2 linked regions of the Pelodiscus sinensis genome follow. The protein of the gene in region 1 interacts with the protein of each later gene in a pairwise test. Links are inferred from orthologs where the notes say so. Each region holds a gene or a part of one and is shown on either strand. Other genes may lie near its edges.

Evidence for each region.
Region 2: the proteins of PIAS4 (region 1) and SMAD7 interact in a two-hybrid assay, tested with the Homo sapiens proteins (2 studies listed by BioGRID and IntAct). The link is inferred for Pelodiscus sinensis from reciprocal best matches to the Homo sapiens genes PIAS4 and SMAD7.

The regions. Positions count from the first base shown.
Region 1 is NC_134729.1:22,026,051-22,033,336, forward strand, and holds the start of PIAS4 (E3 SUMO-protein ligase PIAS4), read left to right. Parts: upstream 1-4,256; 5' UTR 4,257-4,362; coding exon 4,363-4,389; intron 4,390-7,286.
Region 2 is NC_134716.1:116,248,670-116,256,380, reverse strand, and holds the start of SMAD7 (mothers against decapentaplegic homolog 7), read right to left. Parts: upstream 3,168-7,711; 5' UTR 1,488-3,167; coding exon 992-1,487; intron 1-991. UniProt on the Homo sapiens protein: Antagonist of signaling by TGF-beta (transforming growth factor) type 1 receptor superfamily members; has been shown to inhibit TGF-beta (Transforming growth factor) and activin signaling by associating with their receptors thus preventing SMAD2 access.

The sequences.
Region 1 (7,286 bases):
AAGCGAATGGTGACGAGCTAATGAATTGAGTTTCCATACTATAAGGCCATGGGCGCCCGGTGGCTTAGGCAAGGGAAGACTTTGCCTTCCCAAACGGCCAGCCTGGTCATGCCCACACTCCGCCCCCAGCGTGCCTGGGTAGGCATTCTAGGGGTGGAGAGTTGCTGCCCCCAGTGCCTGTCCTCCCTGTGCTCCTGGCCGGGGAGGCTGGAACCACCTGCATCCCTTCCCTCTCTTCCTTTCCCTAGTGCTGTGGGGAGTGCTCGGCGTGCTGCCCCACCTCCTCCCTGGGAGGGCGGGGTCTCAGCAGAGGGGGTAGGAGGCCTGCCTCCCCCGGTCCCAGCTGCACCAACCACCCATGTATAAGGCAATAGTTGAGGTGTGGGTGTGTTTTGAGCGAGTCCGCTTTCATCCCACATGCCTCCGGCTTTACAGAGCCGGGGCAATGCTCAGACAGCTTAGGGGGTAGGTTACCCTACACCGAAAGTTTGAAAAGGGGCTTCCCTTTGCCCATGTCTTTCAACCCTGTCGACAAAGGACAAAGGCTTTCTGCAGCTCCTGCTCACATTAGGGATATTAAAATGTGTTTAGTTTGGTAAAGGTGTACCTGCTGAAAATGTCAGCAGGCACACATTTGCTTGCAGAGAGCAGGAAGGGGGGAAGGTGTGGCTCCCAGGGAGCCTGCCCCACGCTGCTGCTAGAAGCAGCAAAGGGGAGGCAGAGGTGTCTCTGCAGGAGCCAGTATGTGTGGGGAGATGACTTGAAAGCTGGCTCCCTGCACATGGCTGCTCCCACCTGTCCCTCCGCAATACTGACACAGAGGAAGTGGAAGTGGGAGGAAAACAGCTGGGCGGGAGCCAGTATACTTTTAACCTGACTCCCCACATAAACTGGCTCAATTTCATAATAGTTTTGCTTTTCATATTTTAAGATGAAAACATATTGTCTCAGAACTCCAACCATCTGAAAAGATTTTTTTCCCCATTTTTCTTTTAACAAAAATCCACTCTAGTCTGACTTTAAGCGAAGAAAGTTTCAACTCCAGAGATGACAACTTTTTTGGAAAGTTGTGATCAAGGGAAAACAGAAGAGGTAATAACCAAAATCCAGATGTAGCTGTAATGCAGAATCAAGAATTTAGGCCCCGATCCTGAAAGTTGGCCCACCTGGATAGAGCCTTGGACTCCTGTACAGCCTGCTGCATGTTCTCTGTGTGTCCTCATCTGTAAAATGGGACTAAGGATACTACCCTCCTTTGTAAAACACGGGGGTGTGATGGGGAAGAATCCGAGAGACACCTGAAATCTACTGATGAAAAGTGCCACATACAAGCTGGGGATTATTTATTTATTGACATCTTGGGGCTCTGCACAAGCAGGAGTTAGGCACCTAGGTACATAAAAGACCCACTTGACACCTCTCTGCATGTAACATAGCCTTAAAAAGCCTAAACAGCGTTGCCTCATTGCTGGTGGGTTAAAGTCAGACTTAGGAGACCTGGGTTCTATATTTAATTCTACTGCTAGCTTATTGGGTGCTTTTTGTCAAATCGCATCCCTTCTCCATACATCGGTTTCTCTACCTGTGAAATGGGGCCACTGATATTGACCTCTTTTGCAAAGCACTTCAGAGGAGAGACTGGATAAGAGGGTTATTCTTGCCTTTCAATGACATCTAGGCTCCTACGTGCATCTGTGATGTCTGCAAACAGGCATGGGCGTCATGGAACATTCTGCCTTAGGAGTTTGGCCCCCATCTTTCATGGCCTTTGTGCCATTTGTGGCTGTGAAAATGTCTCCCATTGTCCCTAAGGTCTAAGATTTTTAAAAAGGGAGACATAGAATCGTAGAAGTGGAAGGGACCTTTTGAGGTTGTCCAGTCCAGTCCCCTGCACTCATGGCAGGATCAAGCACCATGGACAGGTAATTGTCTAACCTGCTCTTAAATATCTCCAATGATGGAGATTTCACAACTTCCCTGGGCAATTTATTCCAGTGTTTAACCACCCGGACAGAAAGATTGTCCTGATGTCTAACCTGAACCTCCCTTGCTGCAATTTAAGCCCATTGCTTCTTGTCCTGTCCTCAGAGATTAAGGAGAGTAATTTTTCACCCTCCTCCTTGTAACAACCTTTTAGAAACTTGAAAACTCTTAGTATGTCCGTTCTCAGTCTTTTCTTTTCCAGATTAAACAAACCCGATTATTTCAACCTTCCCTCAACGGCCATGTTTTCCAGACCTTTACATTTAGGCCTATAAATCCCCAATCCTTTAAAGATTTATGGGCATGCTTATGTGCATGGTTAACTTGTTTATGTGCAGGACTTGTCATAGTGCATAATGTTAACCATTCTCATTAAGACTTTGCAGAATAAGGGCCTGACTTCCAAAAGACATCAGTGGGAGCTGCTCCGTGTTCAGCACTTTTGTAAACAAGGTCATTCCGAGAGATGCCTAAATATGAACCTAGCAGTCTAAGTTTGGGCACGTAAATCTTGGCCAGGGATCAACAGTGTCTTTTTGTCTTCTTTGTGTGGTTGCCAACACTTGCAATTTTATTACAAGGTCTCATGATAGGCGGTGACTTTCTTAAAAGCCCCGACTTCTGGAAGCAAGCGATTCCATTAATATCTAAGGGTACGTCTACAGTAGAAACACTCCAGTAGTGGAGCTTCCATGCTGCAGCTGTGCTGCACAGTTATTGCCAAGCGAATCCACCTCTCCACAAAGTGGTAGCTTGTCTGATAGAAGAATTCTTCTGCCAACCTCTGTATCTACTACTCCAGGTCTTAGGTCAGCTTTAATTACATGGCACAGGAGAGTAAATTTTTCGCAGCCCTGAACAATATAGTTGGACCAACCCAGCTTTGTATTTTAGACCAGCTCTTTAAAAAAAAAGTTACTAATCCCCTGTGGCTGTGGAAAAAAAGCTTGAGTAGAAAGGTTAAAAGCCAAAAGGGAAATTAAAAGAACTCCAAATATATTATTTTTTAAAATCCCATGACTTTTAAGCCATTCTTGTGATATTTTGAACTCCTATGGCTGGCCCAACAAAGTTTGAATGAAAAACAGCTGGAACAAATATACAAGTTTGAAAAGTGCTCACTGTATATGCCCAGCAGAGATTCTGAAAGGGTGAACAAAGGAAACCAATTCCAGCTCATGTCCTTTTATGCTGCTCTGTGATGGGTAAGAGAAATCCGAAAGATGTATTTGTTTTATAAAAGGTTTGTTTCTGGTTTCACAGAGGCTTTTCTATTTTAATTTGCTGTGGTGGATATGTATGTGTGTATAGGGGGGATGGCGGTTTGTTTTCCGAAAGAACATTTCATATGCATTTGACCCCAACACATTCAAAGGAGATTCTTATTCTGGCCATATATAATCCAGGTTTGCGGTAGGCTTTGGCCTGATCTGCACACCACATAGGTGGATGCAGCTATAGAAGTGCGGAGTGTGACAAATCCACACTCCTGCACGCTGTAGCTACGTCGACCTCACGTCCAGTGCAGACACAACTAGATCATGGGAAAGATTCTGAAACTGAGGGCACAGCGGCATCCCCTGGCTCGGAGCAATTTCCACCAAACTGAGTTTATTTACAGTTTGATTCAATGGCACACAGCACCCCAGCTCTGCAACTTGTACCCCAACTAGCGTGTACATGCCTTGCTGGGGGGAGGGCAGGATTATCCCCGGAATCCAGGGGCTAACTTGCCAGAGCAACAGCCCCCCCCATACGCTCCCCTGCAGGCAATGCAGAACTAGGCACCCCATGAATTCAACGGCACGGGGGTGCAGGAGCCAGCATGGCCTTGTCTCCCACCCCACGAAGCCCGTGGCGGGTTGGCTGCGGTGAGCCCCTTCATAAGCAATGCAGGGGGCTAATTGCTCTCTGCCTCGCCTTCCCATTAATGGCCTTTGTTAGCCCGCCAGTGGGCTAATTAATTATTAATTAATTAATTAATTAATTAAAGCCCGTTCTCTGGCTGCCCCGCCCGCAGACGAGGGCCCTGTTGCTGGCCGGGGCCCAGCTCCCCGGGAGGAGCGGGGTTTGCAGCGCCCCGTTCTGCCCCGGGCCTGGCGCTGTCCCCCCTCCCCAGCCCCCCGGCTCTGTCACTTTAAGAGCCCGGAGGCGGCTAGAACGGGGTCATGGGCGGGGCGGGAGTGGGCGGCAGCGCGCGTGCGCGGGCGGGCGGCCGGCGAGGGGCGGGGGGCTGGAGCGCGATGGGATTGGTTCCCCGCTCTTCCCTAAGCCCGCCCCCTCGGGGGGGGGGGGAGGAGGGAGGGCGAGGAAGGAAAGGGTGCGTGTCACGTGACTCGGCGGCGGCTCCCGGCGCGCCGGTGGACGCTGGAAGCCAAGATGGCGGCGGAACTGGTGGAGGCGAAAGTGAGTGAGCGGCCTCCCCTCAGCGGGGGGCGCGCGGGGCGGGGCCCCGGGGGCGGCCGTGGCACGGCCGGGGAGCGCGGCTCCCAGCACCCGGGGCCGGGCGGGCCCCTGGGACCTTCCCTGCGGCAGGCGCCGCTGGCTCCCACCTCCCCCGCGGGCACCCGGGCCGGCCTGCTCGCCGCCCCCCCCGCCCGGGCCTCGCCCGCCAGCTCCCTGCGGGCCCGGGCCGAGCCTCCCCGGGCCCGGGCCGAGCCTCCCCAGCCCCGCCCCTGTCGGCCGGAGCCCTCGCCCGCTCCCCCGGCGGCGCCGTCCCGTTACCAGAGACCCCCCCCCCCCCGCCGCCAGCGTCGTCCCATTCCCCCCCCCGTGTCCCTACGGGACCCCCATCCCCTCGCGTCGGCTCCGTCCTGCCTCCCCGCCCCGCCATAACCATCCCCGGGGGCTCCCTGCCCTTCTGTAGCTGACCCCGGAGACCCCACCCCTCCCTGTACCCACCTCCCAGTGTCAGTGCCAGCCTGTCATCCCCCCTCTCCGAGACCTCCACCAGCAGCCTCAGCATTTTCCTGTCTGTGCCAACTCCACGGGCCTTCACTCAGCCTCTTTGCATCCCCAGGCTGATTCCTGTGCTTCCCTTGGGGCCTTTCCGGCTCCCCCACTGACCCCTGAAATTGCCCACCACTTAGAGCTTCCCCTGTTTTCATTCTGTGCAGCTGATGCTTCAGATTCCCCACCCACCGCTGTCTTGGCATCTTCTCATCCCAACACTGAACCCTAAGATCTCCCCCATTTTAGCAGGCTGTGATAAAATGATTAAAACAGGCATACTGCTCCCCACACACCTTGGCTTTCCTCCCGACACTCTTCTCCTCCCCCCCCTTCATCTCCTGCTACTATTGCCTCTTCCCAAGTAGTCATTGCCTCAGGTCCCTCCTGCAGTTCTCCCATCTACTCTCTCATTTTTCCTTTCCTCTGTGACTCCCTCATGACGCCCCCTTTCCTGTTCCAATCTCAGCTCTCTGGGCTTCAGAGTGAAGAGTTTGTAAGTGCAATTGGGGGTGTGAGTGTGAAGTGATGACATCCAGGTTTCCTCCACTGACATTTTAGGAAATGGTTTTGGAGTGAGGGGTGAGTGAACTGTCCAAATGTCTCCTGTGGGTCATATTGTTTGCAAAGTTTACCCCCCACCCCTATGAAAGCATAAATGGATTGTTTTATTATCTGAATTGAAGGTATTGAGAAGCTTCCAGAGAAGTGAATATGGAGGTACCTAATGAATGAGATCTGAAGCTTTAAGAGTTCTAGAGAAAATGTTGATAGTCTATAAATCTGCATACATTAGAGGATTCTGTGATATCTGATGTATTTGGAGGTTGCTTAGTGACATGACAATTTAAAAAAAATATTAAACTGCATTATACTTACAAAATATTTTGTGCATGACGAGCACCGTTGGAGAGAGGAAGACTTGCACAGATTCCAAGATTGAGTCCAGTTCTGCTATGTGATACTGCTCTCTGCATGAGTAGGGCTCTTCAGTTCCTGCCTGCCAGTGAGTGGAATCACAGGTGTACTGTCTGTGAAGCAGAACTGTAACCTCACAGTACAATAACAAGACTTCCAGGATAAAGTCCCATTCTTGCCTGTCTAAAGACTTCAAGTGACTTCAGTCATGGCTGAAGGTGCTCAGCTTCTGGCAGGATTAGGCATTAAGTAATGGAATAACAGGGCAGACCCAGTGAATGCTGTGAATCATAGAACTGGCTTATATAGGGCAGACATAAAATGTAGAAAACTGTACATCTAGACATAATGGTGGCTGATTCCCCTTCTTGTGTTAAGCCTTCTTTATTATTGTGGGCAGAAGCCCACCATTCCTCCGAAAGGAAGTATCTTAAAGATATCTGTTGTCTGGCTGTAGCGAGAATTCATTATCTTCCATGCTTCAACACACAATTTGCTGTCTTTTGGCTGCACAAGGCTTACATCTATATTCACTTTACAATAATCTCATGAGCTAACGAGAACTGCATATTCCTACCACTCTGAGTTAGAAGCCTGAGGTTCTAGACTAGAGATGTAAAATCCTGTTTAAAATGTTAAGCAGTTAAACATATGATAACCAGCTCCTCGCTTAGGGTCTGGCTGGACTGGTGCATCCCTCCCCCATGGTAGGCACCCTGGAAAGCATGGCTTTGTCAACACTGGTTAACTGGTAATCCCAATTCTAAACACATAGGCTATGTCTAGACAGGCCAGTTTTTCCGGAAAATCAGCCGCTTTTCTGGAAAAACTTGCCAGCTGTCTACACTGGATGCTTGAATTTCTGCAAAAGCACTGATGATCTCATGTAAGATTGTCAGTGTTCTTGCAGAAATACTATGCTGCTCCCGTTCGGGCAAAAGTCCTTTTGCGCAAAACTTTTGCGCAAAAGGGCCAGTGTAGACAGCTCAGATTTGTTTTGTGCAAAAGAGCCCCGATCGCGAAAATGTCGATTGGGGCTTTTTTGTGGAAAAGCGCGTCTAGATTGGCACGGACGCTTTTCTGCAAAAAGTGCTTTTGCAGAAAAGCGTCCATGCCAATCTAGATGCTGTGTTCCGAAAATACTTTTAACGGAAAACTTTTCTGTTAAAAGCATTTCCGGAAAATCATGCCAGTCTAGACACAGCCATACAGGTTAAACCCTTGGGACTTGGCCAGTGCCAAACCAGATAATTTGCAAGACCATGGTGGGGGTGGTCAGTATTGTGTAGCAGCATTTCCAACACTTTCACTGCTTACTGGGCTCTTAGAAGTCTTATGGGGTAAATTAGAGCTAAATAACAGCACAGAACACTGAGACAGGACTAGTGGCTTTAAAGAAACTTTATGGGATGACGGGAAACTTGGCCACACCCATA
Region 2 (7,711 bases), on another chromosome or scaffold:
TTGCCAATTACCTCTGCCCTCTCCCACTTCTCCCCTCTACTCAGAACTGGATGATTTCTATTCTACACCAACTAAGCAAAGTTTACAAGTAATTGCAATGTTTAAAGACGGGGAGGGGGAAATGAAATGCAAGTCAGAGATCGCTCTTTTAGGCCATCGAGTAAATAACACGGGAGTTAAACGTGCCAAAAAAACCCTATTTCCATTAACCGACAAAAAGGCACTGAAAACCTTTTTTTTGTTTTTTGTTTTGGTCCCGGGCGGATAACTTTTCTGAGTCTTTTCTGCTGACTGGAGGCGAGAGAAGCATGCTTCCAAAAGATACACTGCAATCCTTAAACTATGCGTTCTCATATTAAGGGGGGAATTTGCGAACCACTAGCGTCCAAAAGTTGGGTTGTTGTGTAAATCCAAGACTGGCTGGAAATTCAGTTATTAAACCTAAACTCCAGGGATCCATTTCCCAAAGCAAAGCAGATCTAGATTATGCACGTCTGGCTCGTTCGCCGGGACCTCTCTGCAAATTATCAACCCTCTCTAAAGCAAAAATTCACTGCTGAATATCGTTTGAAAGGTTCAAGGCATCTGAAGGGTTACAGGGTTTCCTTTTTTGTACACAGCCTTCTCCATATAGACAACAGTGAACCACATCCTTGTTTTACTGCAGGTAGAAAAAAAAAAAGGAAACCCGCTGTGCAAGAAGCGCCTTGCAAGGGAAGAGGCCGGCTAAAAATTGCAACCCGAACTCCAAGCACCTTCCTAGGGTGACGTGCGAATTTTGCCAGAGTAAAAAAACCTGGAAGCCTCGGCTATTGTGTGACACAAACGCGGACAATAGACGCTGATTATCCAACCATCCTCAGAACCAGTGTTGGACTCCCACCCCTATGTCCCTATTTTCTGTGCATACGGCAGTTCCCGTGTTCCTACCCGCTCACCCACCCCAGCTCGGGAGTTTCCCACCCGTGCACATGCCTGCCCTCCGGCGTACCTAGTTCACAGAGCCTGGTGAGGTGGTGGGGATTGCAGCAAACCAGCTCCGGGTGAGTTTTTCCATAAGATTCACAGCAACATAACCTCTTCACTTCCGAGCAATGCCTGAGATCGGGCCACCTGAATACTTTACACAGCAGCAAAGGGAGCGAGTACCAATGCTGGCCCAGTTTGGAGTCCACCTTGCCGGGCAGGAGGAGGCAGGAGGTCCGCGTGCCCCCTTTGGATTCCACCGCTTGCAAGAGCACCTCCAGCTGTTTCTCCTTCAGCCTCTTCAGGACCGCGTGGGTCAGCGCTTTCAATTCCGCCTCCGAGCCGAGGTGAGCTTTGCTGATCTTCCCCGACTTGCCCATACAACAGCCCCGGCCGCCTCCAGCCCCATGCGCCCGGCTGTCCGCTCCTGGTTCCCCGGGCTCTCCTTCCTCCTCCTCCCCGCCGGGCGCACGGCTCCTCCAGAGTCGCCGGACGAGCACCGATCGTTTGGTCCTGAACATGCGGGACGAGAAGAAGGTTTCCCGGCTAAAAAACGAGCATGTCGTCCGCAAATCATGAAGAATCCGGGATCCGAGTCCAGGCAGCCAACACAAGCAGCCTGAAATGATAGGGATATAGTGGGGAGGAGGGTTGGTGGCGGTGGAGGTTGTGGAAGAGCCAAAGCAATCTGTAACATACGCCAGTCTCTTACAGGGCTGGAGTTGTTCCTGTCTCTCTTAAATCCTTCAAAAAGCCGCTGGAAATCCTACAGTTTCATACAGATCTATTCAGAATTTCTCACCAACTACTTCTAAATAGGAACTGGGAGAACAGAAACTAAAAGAGATGGGGTGGAGGGGAGAAATCAAATGTTCACTGTATCAGAAGAATTGCAGAAAACATGCTCCCCCGTCAAAGAGATAGGGGAAGAACAGATCTTCTTGTGTTGCAGGTCTGTCAAAGTGATTGCAAAATCTCTAGATCACATTTGGTTTCAGATGAGGATGACTGTTTTAGATAAAAAAAAATCAAGATGTTCCCCATCCCCCAAAAACTGTGTTGCAAAACGAAGGCACACGATTTAAAAAAAAAAACCCCTATTTCCTTAGTAATAACATATCCATAGATTCCATAAAAATAAGAGTTTTTTGGAAGGGGACTGGGAAAAAAGGATTTTCTACAAGAGGGGGTGGATTTTTAAAAAGAAAGAGCCAAAAGAACTCATAATTTAAAAAAAAAACTAAAATGTGGACGTCTGAATAATCACAAAAACTTACATTTTTTTTAAAAAAAATGCACCCAAGAATGTTACATCCTTTTTAAAAAAGCGCCCAAGTCTTCCTGATGCTTTTTCCCCTTCTTCTTAGCAAAGATTTTAATCCACACACCAAAAAAATCGTCGAGGCGGCTGCTAAGATATATATATATATATATATATATATATATATATATATATATATATATATATATATTTAAAAGTGGGAGTCTCTCTTCCCTTCCAAAAGGCTGGTTCCGCTCCCCTCTCCCTGGCTGCCTTTCAGAAAGACCAGGAGGTAGGGACAGTTTTTCTTAAAATACAGTTGCCCCCACCTCTCCTCCCACCCAACCCTTACAAAATAAAAGGACGGATGGGTGAGAAGTGGCAGGGATGATCCTATAATGAATGACAGGCGCTGAAATTATCACCTGCCCCCCCCCCCCCCCTTCAGTCTCTCTTCTGTCTCGCTCTTTCTCTCGCTAGTACATGCTAATGCAGCCGTTCGCTCTTCTTCCTTCCCTTCTGGCTGCAGCTCTCCTCCTCCAAGGCAGCCTTTCCAGTCCTTGCATCGGCTATCAACACACACGGGGGAAAAAAGCAGCTCCTTTTGCTTGGCTCGCTTGGGTTGCTTTGCCTTTTTTTTTCCTCCTTCCCCTCCTTTTTCCACTCCCTTCTTCCTTCACAGAGCGCTCATTGCAGAAGATTCTGTCTCTCCCCACACGCACACACCTTTTTCTTCTTCCTTCCCTTGGGCGACAGGGGGAGTTCCTTGTCTTTTGGAGGGGGTGGCCTGCGAAGAGGAGGGGGGCTCCCAAGTGAGGTGGCTATTACCTAGCAGTGTCCATAGCCTTGCAGCCGTCCGCCAGCTCGGCTCTCTAGCCAGCCAACAGCCTCCTCCTCCTCCTCTCCTTCCCCCCTCCTCGCCGCTTTGCCTCGGTGACTCGCAGTGCGCAGTATCGCTGCCCAGCCCCGGCCCCCAATCACGTGGGCGTCTAGACACCCTGTCGCTTTAAAAAAAAAAGTGATTGTGTTGCGCAAACAACAGATCGGGTTTCTAAAAGCTATTTTTTTATTTCTGAAGTCTGGAGAGCGAGGAGGGGAGCGGGTAGGGGAAGTGCATAGAATTCACATCACATTCAAGAAATACATTAATTTTCTTTAAAAAAAAACCAAACCACGATCAAGATACAGTGCACCAAGGAAATAATTGCTCATGGAGATGAACTCAAGAGGATATTTATCAGTGAGATGCTGCGGTGAGGGGTAGCTTGCTCGATATTTGTATCGACAGGGTTTGCTTTCACATTCAAAAAAAGAGTTTGCAGACTCAGTTTGGGCTTTTTTGTTTTGTTTTTCTGCATGCTGGATTATTACTGTAATTTGTGGCTCTCTTTGCATTGAAGTTACTGGCAGATTTGTTTTTAGTTGGGGTCAGGTGGAGCTGTGCATTGGGCCCTTATTAAAGAGACATATATACGAGGTGCTTGCACAAAGGATGCAAAAAGATGGTTTTTCAGATGGGTGAGAAAAGAGGGTGTAGAAAACACCCAGAAAAAGTAAAACAAAGATCCTGAAATAGGATTGTTTGATGCAGTTCCCTGTGTCTGTCCAAAGGCCCTGTATCTGACCACAGGAGGGGAGGCCTACAACTGTGGTTGTGTAAAATAAATAAATGCCATAATAAATTGCAATTTTTAAAAAATCTATAAACTAAATCAACAGTTAATTTGTAAAGCCAAAGAAAGACATTAGGTAAAATGTAATGAAAACACTTTGCACTTGTACAGCACTTGTCATCAGAGGATCTCAATGGTGGGTAAGTGTAATTAACCCTTTCTTACAAGTGAGGAAAATGAGCCATGGATATTAATAAAACATCATCACAACACTTTGCACTATATAGTGCAATGCTTCAAAGAACCTGACATTTTTAATAAATGAAGCCTTTCATATCCCCCATCAAGTCAGGCTTACTATGCCAGTTTTGCAGAGGGGTAAACTGAGACACAGTGGTTATATGTGATGACACAGCACTAGAGCTGGAGACCAACCCAGATCTAGTGCTGGGCTTTAATCCTGAAAATCACAATCTTGCAAACACTGACATAGGATTTAATAGGATTATTCATGTGTGCAAGTGTTGCCAGAGACCAGGCCCAGACCAACAAGTGAGTTGCTTAAGGTCATATTGTAAAGTCAGTTGCAGAGTTGGAAACAGACCCATGTTTCTAAAATCACATGCTCTGAACACTAGCTACTATAAACAAACCTGATTCCAAAGTAATTTCAGTGAAATAAACAAGACAAAACCCATAAAACACAGACAGCCCAAGAGTTATTATTCTAAAACGTCCTAGAACATACATACTGTAGATGCACTGCATTCCTGGAATTGACTTCTCCAGGTGCATTGGATGCACAAAGAATGCAGACTCAAATGTAGTAGGCCTTATCCTGCAAATACACACCTCAGGACTCAATACTCCAATGAAACTATTCACATGCACAAAAGCTGTTTGTGTTACTGGCAGGATCAAGGTAGTTGGAAGCCAAGCCTGTAGAACTGTCTTGAAAAATTCTAGTGAAAACATACCATCCTGGGAATAAAACCTATTCACCTGTCCTTTGTCCCTATGATTGGTTTGTCCTTTTTTTTTTTTTTTTTTTTTTGCTCAGGGCATTTAGGTGAAGAATTTATCAAGGCTGATTTATGGCTTTATAGGGAAGGTAATCAGAGGATAAACACCAGAAATTTCACCCTGAACAGTTGGACTTTTTGTTCTGCTTCTGTACCAAGCCCAGTAGGTTCCATGCTTAGGGTTCCTAGGTGCTACAGAAATATACATACATACATAAAATTATATTTCAGAGTAAATATAAGCTTTTCTTAACACATGGGCCACCACACTCCGCAATTTCTGAACAGTGCAGCCCCATGGAGAGTGCATTGCAGTAATCTAACCTTGAAGTAACAAAGGATTAATGGCCATATAGTGCAGCCAGGGCATCAGCTTTTAAGTTTGCTGCACTTTCCAGTACAGTGCAATTTTTTTAATGGTCACTTCGGAGACTTGAAAAATTGAAAATAAATTACATTTCTTTCTTTTAATATCTCTTTCATGAGCCTCAGAGGTGACCTTATTTTTTTAAACTGTCTCCTCTTTTTATTATAGCAGTGTAGAGAATCTCAAAACCTTTTATCACTGTGGTATATATGATAAACTGAGAGATACTTTCCCTGCTTCTGCTGATACTGAAAGACCAGATTAGATAGACACACCTATTACCATGTGCATTACATTCTTGTTTTATGTCAAAAGCTGTCCAAACTACTATAAATGAGGTGGATTCAAACCATTCGTTCACGGTGAATAAGGGGTATAATTTTTCCTTTATAATCATCACTTTTTCTATTGTGATTTATGTTTGCATTATTAGTTATTTTGATAATAGTAATGCAGAGATTCCTATATTTACAAACCAGAGTGACAAGAATGGTAATTAGCAATGTGCTGTGCCAGGACAAAATGTGGTCCAATGGACAGAGCACAAAACTGGAACTCAGGTGACTTGGGTACTTCTTCCAGCTCTGCTACTGATTTTGCCACTAGCTTCAATAGAAACCTCATCTTTTCTGCACCTCAGTTTTTCTATCTGTGAAATGGGGAAACAAATATTTATCCTCCTTTGTAAAGTACCTTGAGCCCTGCAGGTGAAATTTATTGTATTATTTGGAATAAATTAATTATTTAATTGTCCTTGTATGGCTTTATTAAATGTCACAAAGAAAAAGATTAAATCAATAATCAATTAAAAAGTGCAAATATTTTGTGTTTTTAACTGTTTTTTTCACTATTTATCATACAATCAGGGGCAGGTTCTTCCATATTATACCTCTTTCAATCATTAATTCCATGTCTTATTTTTCTAAAAAGCTAGATTTAGATGTACTTAGGGAAATGGACATGTGTCTAAAATGGAAAGAATAAAGAAGTATGTGTTCTCTTTTTTTAATAGTTACTGTATAAAATCTGACTTGTTAGGCCAAACCAGTACATTTAAATCATATAAATAAGCCCATTAAAGCATCCCCTGATGTTACTGTATTTATTCGTTGGCAAGTAGATGTGAACCAAATACGTCCTCTTCTCCAAGAGCGACAGTTAGGAAGCAAAAAAATGCATGTTGAAATATCCCGGGGATATGACAATGTCATTCAGATAATGGAGAGGGTGTCATCAACCAGTGTATCTGTTCAATTTACTCTTGGGTGTGAAACTCATCTCTAATACAACTCCAGGGAATGGGATAAACTTATCCCTTTGACTTTAAAGGGCCTAATTATCTGATTTAAATAAACTGGGTTTGGACTAACAAACAGACAAAAATTTCTCAACTATGTGATCTGTAGGTTAATTTAAAGCTGTTTTTCCAACTTGATTTATTTTTAACAAGAGAAAAGTAATTTGTACATATGAATTAAATCCATCATCAAAAATATGGACAAATACATTTGATTATGGAAGTGAAATCAAATACAAAATAAAAACTATACCTTTTCTTTCCAGACACTATTCATATGGAGGTTTCTGGAGACTTTCCTGTTACGCAATTGTCTTTGAAAAGTTAAGAGTGATAAACTGGAGTTAATTTGCATTGCAATTCAGCATTTGACAGACAGTTGGAGCCAGGGCACTGTTAACCTAATTGCTTTTTTAACAGCACCAGGGTGAGAGAGAGAGAGAGAGAGAGAGAGAGAGACACACACACACACACACACACACACACACACACACACACACACACACACACACACACACACACACACACACACACACACACACACACACACACACACACACACACACACACACACACACACACGATAAAATGAGGCCTGACATCGTTACCAGACACATATAAACAAAGATGATCCATTTTCGTGGTCTTTCTGGGCTAGGATTGGATCAATAACAAATATTAATTATTTTTCTCTTTTGGGAATAGCTCTTGGTGATAATATTTACAAATACTGTAACAATAAGTAGGAAGGAACAAGCCTGTCTGGAGAGAAGGCAAGAAAGAAAATGGAGATTTCATGTACTTGAGTGGCACTCCATGCAGATTAAAAGATTTAAAATAGTTAAATTTGCTTCAGTTATAAATGTTTAATTTCAGAGGCTTGCAAACAAGGTTCAGAGTGAGCTAGAATGTCATTTTTGGCACTTTTCTGCTTCTTTCTCAGTCTCTGCAGCTTTCATTTAAATAGCAAATAGACCTTATGACTGCAAAAAAAAAAAAAAAAAACCTCAGTGTGACCTGATGCAAAGTTGTCTTCCTGAGTCTACAAGAGAGACAAACAATACATATTAGAGAAGTGTGAACCTGACCTTATTTACCCTCATAGGGCATTAAATTTGTTAGGATAATATAATTTGATTGTTGATGCTAGAAACTACCTGGGGGCTTTTTATTTTGAGCTAACAT